Linked DNA regions of Macaca mulatta. The protein of the gene in region 1 purifies or fractionates together with the protein of each later gene. This does not show direct contact. Links are inferred from orthologs where the notes say so. Each region holds a gene or a part of one and is shown on either strand. Other genes may lie near its edges.

Region 1 (4,516 bases):
GGCTGAGATGGAAAGATCACTTGAGCCCAGAATTAGAGACAAGCCTATGGAAACATAACAAGACCCCGTCTCTACAGGGAAAAAAAAAAAAAAAAGAAACTGAGCCTTAAAGAGATGAAATAAATTAAGCAGTAGGTCCAGGATGCAAAATCCTCCCAATTCCTGTGCATGTGCTCTTACTGTAAGGTGCCAAGGAAAACTGATTTAAGTCACAGCCCTTGTTTACGGGGCACCGTTTCTTGTTTTTGCACTGAATCAAGTCTAACCCCAACAGCCACATCCTCCTCCTATACCCAGACATCTCGTCTCAGGAAGTGGTGGTGGGGGTAGTCAGAAGGAAAAATAACTGGACATCTTTGTGTAAACCATAATCCACATGTGCTGTATATGATCTTCACTCCTTATCCCCAAGATCCCCTTTTAGAAGCCCTTCTCATCTAGCAGTGAGAAGCTTCCAGGTAGGACAGAAAGAAGATCCAGCTTCAGCTTCACACCTCTGTCCCCTTGGATGGGGAACTGAGGGAAAATGTCTGTTGTATCACTGAAGTTTTTTGTTTTGTTTTTATACATGTCTGAATAAAAATGCCAAAGTTTTTTTCAGCTTCCTGTCTGTCAAGTGAAAACATTTCGTATAAGAGATCTGCTCCTCAGCAGTGGATAGTCACCTTTCTGTCTTCTGACAGTGCTACTCTGTCCCATGTAGATTTCTCTAGTCCTACTATTACTTGGTATTTCTTTAGAACAAGCATAGCGCATAGTCCTTTTCATTAAGGGTTTTAGTAGAAATCTACAAGGCAACCAATTGGGAATAACAAAAAGAACCCACGTGCTTGAAGATTTATAAAAAGCCCTATACGTGTCCAGTCTCCTTCAGAGGCCAAATACTGAAACCTCCAGATGCTTCTGAATTCATTATCTTAGAAAAGTCACCAAATCTTTTTATTTTTTCACGGTAAGAACTCTCAACAAACATGTCTTTCTGAACACTTCCCTTAGGTGCCCCATCCAGGTGCCTGTTATTGGAACAATAATGTCATGTTACTTCATTAGGAGTCCGGCCTCTAGATTACGAGGCCTTTAAATGGATGATCCCTCCGGTGTCCGGCTGCGCAGCTGGCCCCCGTTCCCAGCACCCTTGGTCTTCTTCCACCTGTCTGCCCCTCCCTGTTCTCCCAGCTTCGGAGGACGACTGAACCGGCTGGGCGGGTTTCGCCAGCCGACCCAAGTATCCGAGGAAGGGCGCACCCAGCCTCCCCGCCCTAGGTGCAGACACTGCCCACCCGCCGCGGCTCCACTCTACTCCACCCCTGCTCGCTCGACTCTAAACCTATTTCCCCGCCGTAGCTCCGCCCCTCTTCCCTCAGCCCGCCCCTCTGTTACTGGCTTTCGCACAGCGTTCTCGGTGGAAGTGGTTTTTCCGGGAGAGACCACGCTTCCCCTCAAGCTCCCCAACGGCTCCGCCTTCCCGCCGGAGCCTGACCCTTCCCAGCGTGCCCGGCGATTCCGGCGTGCGAGGCCCTTGGAGGGCAAGGCCCCAGGGCCTGGCTTAGGAGCGTGAGCGGCAGGCTGGGAATTGTAGTTCGAAAGCCCTCGAGGGCGGCTAAAGGCTGGCGGTGGAGAGGACTAGTTTTCCCAGCGTGCCCTGCGCCTCAGCCCGCGCGCTCACAGCTTCTCGCTCTCGCCTGCCTGCCTGCTCCCTTGCTTGCTCGCGCTTTCGCTCGCCCTCTCCTCGAGGATCGAGGGGACTCTGGCCACAGCCTGTGGCTGGGAAGGGAGACAGAGGCGGCGGCGGCTCAGGGGAAACGAGGCTGCAGTGGTGGTAGTAGGAAGATGTCGGGCGAGGACGAGCAGCAGGAGCAAACTATCGCCGAGGACCTGGTCGTGACCAAGTATAAGATGGGGGGCGACATCGCCAACAGTGAGTGCGACCTCGGGGGTCGGGGAATCAAGGCTGACAGGGAAAGGTGCCAGGCTGGCCCTGAAGGGGCTGGAGCGGAGGGGTCATGCGAACTGAGCTACTGAGGGGCCCGCACCAGTCCGCTGGGGGCGGCGTGGTGGGAAGACCCGGTGTCGCTCCTGGGACCTGAGCGGCCAGGCCCAGGCTGAAGTCTATGGAGGTGCGGGTCGGCGACCGGGATGAGCGGAGAGAGGGTAACCTGGCAGGCTCCGACCCGAGGCCGTTTGTTAGGAGGCAAGACGTGTTTTCTCTTGTTCCTATCCTTCATTCCCGATTTCTGCTTCCTCTGATTCTGGCAACGGCGAGGCCACCTCGAAAAGGAAGCGCCCAGCTATTGGCGACAGAAGCGCCCCTCTGTTTTTGTCGCGTCTGCGGGGCGTCAGGAGCCGAGCCGGCACGTGTTGCTGGGTCCCCTTGCGGATGGCTGGCCCCCTTCTTCCTCCAGTACTGTCCCTGACACCAGCTTCCCCACCACGTGCTTTGCTGGAGCCTTTCCTTCTTCAGCTCTTACCCTGGTGGGGGCCCCCTTCTACCCTTGGGCCAGCTAAGGGGACCGTTGGAGAGCACTCCTGGAGCTTCTAACACAAGTTTTGGAGATATATATGGCTTTTCTTGAAGTTACTCATTATTACTACCTTTCCAATCTGTGCAGATAGCCTTAGTTAGCATTCACATTTGTTGTTCAAAGTGACTTGACAACTCAAATGTTTTGGGGTCTCCGTCTTATCCCAACTAGGCAAGCTTGCGAACATTACTGGAAAAGGGAGGACTGATTTTAGGATTTTCACAAGTCATCCTTATTCCAGCTGTGCTCTGAGGATCTCAGCAGTTGCCTGCCACTCTAGGCGATGTCACTTTCTCTTTTCTCTCTTTCTAGTTAGCCTTTCCATTTTATTTAAAACCCAGTTAGGGAGATACAAACTGCTTGTCATTGTGTTTTTAAATGGTTTTAACAGCAAAGATGGTGGGAAAGAGGTATTTAGGATGCCTCCCATCCTGTGGGTGAAAATCTGAGTTTTACCCGCTTTCAAAGAATCACCAAAACTGAGATTTCAAAACTCAAACCTGTGCTTTATATCACAGTGGACATTTAGTATAGTACCCTGGTTTTGGTGCCTTTTAGTATTTGAGATACTAGGGATTTGAATCAGAAAATCCCTTTCTTACAGTTTATAACTTTGGCCTCATATTTCTTTGAGATAAGCCATGATCCCCCAAAATGAAACCCAGGGACCTTAGATTAAGTCCCCTTGGCTTATACACTTGTTTATGAGGAATTAAGTCTACATAGATTGAGATTCCTAACACCTAATTAGAGTGTCTGAGAAAGGAAGGCGGTAACATTTAACAGTGCTTCAGCTTCGAGTCAGCAATTCTGTCTACATTCCTGTCCCTGATGCCTATAAATTTCATCTAGTCTTTCCATGTATGTGGGGATACCATGGCAAGAACTCTCTGAAGTTCATAACTCTGTCCTGTCACACCAAAGGTAGCATCTTTGGAAAGTCCGAGGCCTTGCCTAAGGAGATGGATTGCATATACCCAGTTGTCACATAATGTAAGGAAGAGAAGGGAATGTTGACCTTTCAGCCTCAGGGCAATGGCACTAGGGAGCATTAGAAACTCTTAAGTTCAACTTCCAGGTATTCCTTGGGAGGTAACTAGACAATGAATACATACAAGGCTGACATGATGGGATTCTGTCCTCAGGGGTACTTCGGTCCTTGGTGGAAGCATCTAGCTCGGGTGTGTCGGTACTGAGCCTGTGTGAGAAAGGTGATGCCATGATTATGGAAGAAACAGGGAAAATCTTCAAGAAAGAAAAGGAAATGAAGAAAGGTAAAAAAAAAAAAAAAAAATCCCTCACTAATTTCCTGTTTGACCCTTATTTGGTCCTATATGTTTTTATTTTTTTCACTGTAATGATGCAGTCCCCACCCTGGCTCTGGCTGAGATATTTGGAAATTTGGAATGACAAGTGGGATATAAGCAGTTTCCTACCTAATACAAACTGATGAAACTTAAGCAAGACCCTGAAAAAATCCTTCCACTCTTCTGAAGGGCACTAGGGCTTCTGGGAGACAGCAAGGCAGTAGGCTGATGATTTTTTCTTTACAGGTATTGCTTTTCCCACCAGCATTTCGGTAAATAACTGTGTATGTCACTTCTCCCCTTTGAAGAGCGACCAGGATTATATTCTCAAGGAAGGTGACTTGGTAAAAATGTAAGGTTAAACCGTTTTAAAGCATTTTTCTTTTTTTAAAGCATTTACAAAATGCCGGTTCCTAATGCAGTACACTCTGATCTTGCCTTTCAGTGACCTTGGGGTCCATGTGGATGGCTTCATCGCTAATGTAGCACATACTTTTGTGGTTGGTGTAGCTCAGGTAGGTGGCCTGCTTTTGATCTCTGTTCAGCCTTGGGGGTGTAGGGAATGCACCGCTATTTCCTTCTTATTCCCACCCCCAATCACCACGCAGGTCAAGAGAGTGTCTAGAGAAGCAAAAGGAGGAAGGCTTTTTGTTGTTGTTGTTGTTGTTGTTGTTGTTGTTGCTGTTT
Region 2 (4,384 bases), on another chromosome or scaffold:
CTTGCAATCAGAAGCCCAGTAACTACCAAGACAACTCCTTACCATCTTCCTCATCGTCATCATCCTCATCCTCATCATCTTCATCATCCTCATCATCCTCATCCTCTGAGGCAGGGGCAGCAGCTGCTGCTTTCATCACTGCTGGTTCAATTTCATCTTCATCCTCATCTTCGTCCTCATCATCCTCATCATCTTCCTCACTGTCATCCTCCTCCTCTTCATCACTGTCTTCCTTCTTGGCATTCTTACCATTCTTTGCCCCCTTGGCTGGGATGGCAGCACCCTTCTTACCAGGGGTTGCTACCAATGCTTTGCCTGGTGTGGCTCCCTTCTTGCCAGGTGTGGCAACTGCTTTGGCTGGTGTAACTGTCTTCTTGGCAGGTGTTGCTGCTGCCTTTTTGCCTGGAGTGACAGCTGCTTTCTTGGCTGGTGTGGCAACTGCAACCTTTTTTGTTGGGGAAACTACCACCTTCTTTGCTGAGGTTGCAGCAGCCTTCTTGCCTTTCTTCTGAGGTATGACAACCTTGAGAATAAATGAAAACCAAACCAGTAAGTCCAGCCCCACACCCAAAAAGATAACCATGGTCCCAGTGAGTGTTAGATTCTGCCAATGCTTCTGGTTCAAGACCACATGCGCTAGACACATGTTAGCATGTTAAACTCCAGGCTTCTGTTATGTTGTCTTAGGTCAGAGCCCTTATTATCAGGTGAATACCCAGCCATAAGGAACCCTTTTGAACACTTAAAATACCTCTGAACCAGACCTCTGAATTCTTGCACCTCATATTTTCCCAAACCCCAACTTTCTCATCTGAAAATGGTAATAGTATCATATTACACGTATAACAATAATGAAGTGCTATGCGTAAATTATTCAGAACCTTACACCTAGGAGGCTCCAAGCATTAACGTATTAAATCATTTGGGGCTCCTATGGTGGATGGCAGTACTGAGTCCAGTGAAGCTCAATTCTTGGGACCTGAGATAAAATGAAGATCAAATAGGCTAAACCTAACTATCCCTTACAAAACTATCACACATCAAAGAGTGAGCATGTTAGTTTGATAAAAGCCATCGTTTAGCTACATGAAAATCCCATAGTTTTATTAGGCAATGTGTGGAAGAATAAAACTTTTATTCAATTCTCAACGAAAAACCTGAGCACAATTCAGTGCTCAGATGTCTTTACAGTGAGCAAATAAAAGGCCAAGACTGCCAAAGAGTAAAGAGGGTCAATGTTAACACAAAGAGGTGGCAGCCCTCAGTCTACACCAAAGATAACTATAACGCAGTGAGTAGAATTACAAAGTTTATATATAATGGAATGGAGACCAATTAATCTTAATTGGAGGCTAGGAAAGGAATCTGGGAAGGTTATCCTCAGATCTGAATACAATGCCCAGCTCTACATGTCGGGGTGAGGCTAACATGTTGAAACTGGAAAAATTTAATGATTTAACACAACAAATCACACTCCTTGCCCTGCAGAGGCACATGGAAAGGAGATCCCCAGACCTCTTGTCTCAAACTCACATTCAAATACTTAGCCAAATGACACCTTGACATGTCAGTGAAGAGCTTGTGAAACCACCACTACAATAGGACATACCTGGATGAATAAAATCTTATTTTAGCCACAGACATCCAATTTCATGTCTTAACTCTCCATTGTTGTAGTTTTAACACAATTCTGCATTAAGCTAGATAAAATTACCTCTTCTCCACTGCTATCATCTTCTTCATCTTCTGACATTTCTTCATCTTCACTATCTTCTTCTACCTCCTTTGGAGGAGGAGCCATTTTCTTGGGGTCACCTTGATTTTTACCTGCCTAAAATGGACACAAGTAGGTCATTACACCTCCACCTCAACATTTCAGGCCATTCATATTTTGCCATTACTGTTCATAGTAAAACGCCATCATCTCTCCTTTCTCAGATCCATTTCTCATAGTGCCAAACAGCACAACATCAAAACGAGTCCTGATGGCAATGCAAGATGGACTACTCTCAACCGCCCACAATTTTCCTCCCGGGCTTCACAAACAGAAAACCCGCCCGAAGGTAAGAAGTAACTACCTTGGTTTTCTCATGAACATTATGCTTTTCCCAGCAAGACAACCCCGCCCCTTAAAGAGGCGGCGCGGCCACGTGGGGGTACCTGGTAGGCCACCACGTGCCCGAAACACGGCGCAAAAGGCACGCGGCAGAGCCACCTTCCGGGGCCCACCACGTGTCGGCTTGCCAGGCCAGGACTCCGACTAGGGCCGATACCGCCATTTCCTGGCGCAAGGCACCGGTGCCTCTGGAGATTCCAGGACCTACGCGGCGCGGCCCACGTGGCAGGCCGCGCTCCCGGGCACGTGCGTCAGGAGTCGGGTCCCGACTCGTATGCGTCGCAGGAGTTTGGTCTCATCTCCCCACCCCGGGGCCCAGCGCCCCCTCCCCGCGCTCAGTGACTCCGTCTTTCCCGCCGCGTTCGCCGCCCCCAGCACCTGCAGAAGCTCTTCACCTCGCCACCAACTAGCCAGAAGCCGCGAGACCTCCCCACTAATCGCGCGAGACTTCCCGCAGCATGGCGCCCTAGAACGCGCCCGGGACTGCGCGCAGGCCCTCCTCCCCGCGCCGCCGCGCTCGCCCCTCGGAGAGCAGGCCTAGACGTCTGCGCTCGCGCTCAAGGCCGTTTACCTTCGCGAGCTTCACCATGATGGCGGCTTATGGCGGCGGAGTGTGGAGCGGAGAAGTGGCGCAGATGAGTCCAGAGGAAGGCAAGCGACGGCGATGGCGGCCGCGGGTGCTGAAGATCCCGGAGCACGTACACTCGAAGGCCAGCGAGAGCTCGAGACTGAGGCGAAAGACTGAGCCTGCCCAGTAATCGCCTGTGGAAAGGCGACGACGGCGCCCTCGTGACTCCGTGCCGACCAACCAGAGCTCGCGGCAGTCCCCCTGAGCCAATCGCGAGCCTCTAACCGAGAACGGCGCGGGGCGGGGAGTGGGCGGGCCGAGGCGGCCACGGGAGGGGGAGGGGCTGGCAGCCGTGCCGTCGGGGCGGGGCTCGCTTTGTGCAAGGCCGGCGCTGATTGGGCCGTGGGCGCGCGGGTCCCGGCCTGCGCCGTGGGACTGGCGTTTTTGGCGCCGGCTGTGAGGGGACTTCGGGGGTGGTGGAATCGGGCGGTCTAGGGATCTCCAATGTGGCTGGCTCCCTAGGCTCGGGCAGCCTTGGAGTTCCTCAAAGACCCCGCGCGCGGCCCCGGCACGCACTCACGCCGGCGCTCCCGGTGGCCCTGGAGAAAGAAGCCCGCCAGCCCCGGAAGTTCAGGGACCGCGGAGTTCCCGTTGGCCCTTTCGGAGGCACAGCTCAGCCCTGCTTGCCCGCGAGCATGGGACTGGAGACACCCCCGGCTGCAGGCAGTCTTCTGAGAGCCGTTAAAGGCAGTCGCGGGTCTGTGCGAGGTTTTTCTGTGAGAAATGCACGAACCTCCCCTACCCCACAGAACCTCAGGCGGGAGATATTTCTCGTCATGGGGAACGGCCTCGGAGAAGTAACTTTCTGGCCTCACAGGGCAAGGAGAGGGGCCTGGGCGGGCCGACCGCAAAGCCGGGCCTTTGACCGCCCACAGGTTCCCTGGTTGTTATTTGCGTCGAATGCGCCAATTAAGGTGGTGGCTGCTAAGTCAGTGTCACCAGATGGCTCGGGAGCAGGTCGAGAGCCACCGGCAGGGTTCCCCGGCGGCAGGGCGAAGGAGGCCGGAGTGACTTCCACGGTTAGCTTTGAGGGTGGGCCTCCCTCGATGCCGGGCTTAGCAAACCAGAGCATTTCCCTCCGTCCAGGGCCTGCCTGGGATCCATCCAATCCATGGGTCCAGGTATGGATCCATCCATACCTCATTGTTCCTACAGAACCAGGATACCTGCAGCTACGGCGGTACTTGTTAAAAATCACCTCAGGCGGGGCGCGGTGGCTCAGGCCCGCAGTCCCAGCACTTTGGGAGACCGAGGCGCATGAACCGGGGAGTCGGGGATTGCAGTGAGCCGACATCGCGCCACTGCACTCCAGCCTGGGCGACAGAGCGAGACTCCGTCTCAGAAAGAAAGAAAAGTGTTTGTTAAGGCCAGGCGCGATGGCTTATGCCTGTAATCCCAGTACTTTGGGAGGCTGATGCAGGAGGATCGCTTGAGTCCAGGAACTTGAGACTGGCCTGGGTAATATAATGCGACCCTGTCTCTACAAAAAAAATAATAATTAGCGGGTGTAGTGGCACTCGCCTGGAGCCCCCGGCTACTCGGGAGGCTGAGGTGGGAGGATCGCTTGAGCCCAGGAGGCGGAGGTTGCAGTGAACCGAGATGGCGCCATTGCACTCCAGCCTGGGCAACAAGAGCAAAAC

What was found.
Region 2: the proteins of PA2G4 (region 1) and NCL purify together in Homo sapiens (affinity purification with mass spectrometry; 3 studies listed by BioGRID and IntAct, with this or other methods). This does not show direct contact. The link is inferred for Macaca mulatta from reciprocal best matches to the Homo sapiens genes PA2G4 and NCL.

What each region holds. Positions count from the first base shown.
Region 1 is NC_133416.1:63,252,976-63,257,491, forward strand, and holds the start of PA2G4 (proliferation-associated protein 2G4), read left to right. Parts: upstream 1-1,634; 5' UTR 1,635-1,830; coding exon 1,831-1,918; intron 1,919-3,667; coding exon 3,668-3,796; intron 3,797-4,075; coding exon 4,076-4,181; intron 4,182-4,274; coding exon 4,275-4,344; intron 4,345-4,516. UniProt on the Homo sapiens protein: May play a role in a ERBB3-regulated signal transduction pathway. Seems be involved in growth regulation. Acts a corepressor of the androgen receptor (AR) and is regulated by the ERBB3 ligand neuregulin-1/heregulin (HRG).
Region 2 is NC_133417.1:136,720,153-136,724,536, forward strand, and holds the start of NCL (nucleolin), read right to left. Parts: upstream 2,847-4,384; 5' UTR 2,706-2,846; coding exon 2,688-2,705; exon of another isoform or gene 2,495-2,687; intron 1,832-2,494; coding exon 1,715-1,831; intron 524-1,714; coding exon 43-523; intron 1-42. UniProt on the Homo sapiens protein: Nucleolin is the major nucleolar protein of growing eukaryotic cells. It is found associated with intranucleolar chromatin and pre-ribosomal particles. It induces chromatin decondensation by binding to histone H1.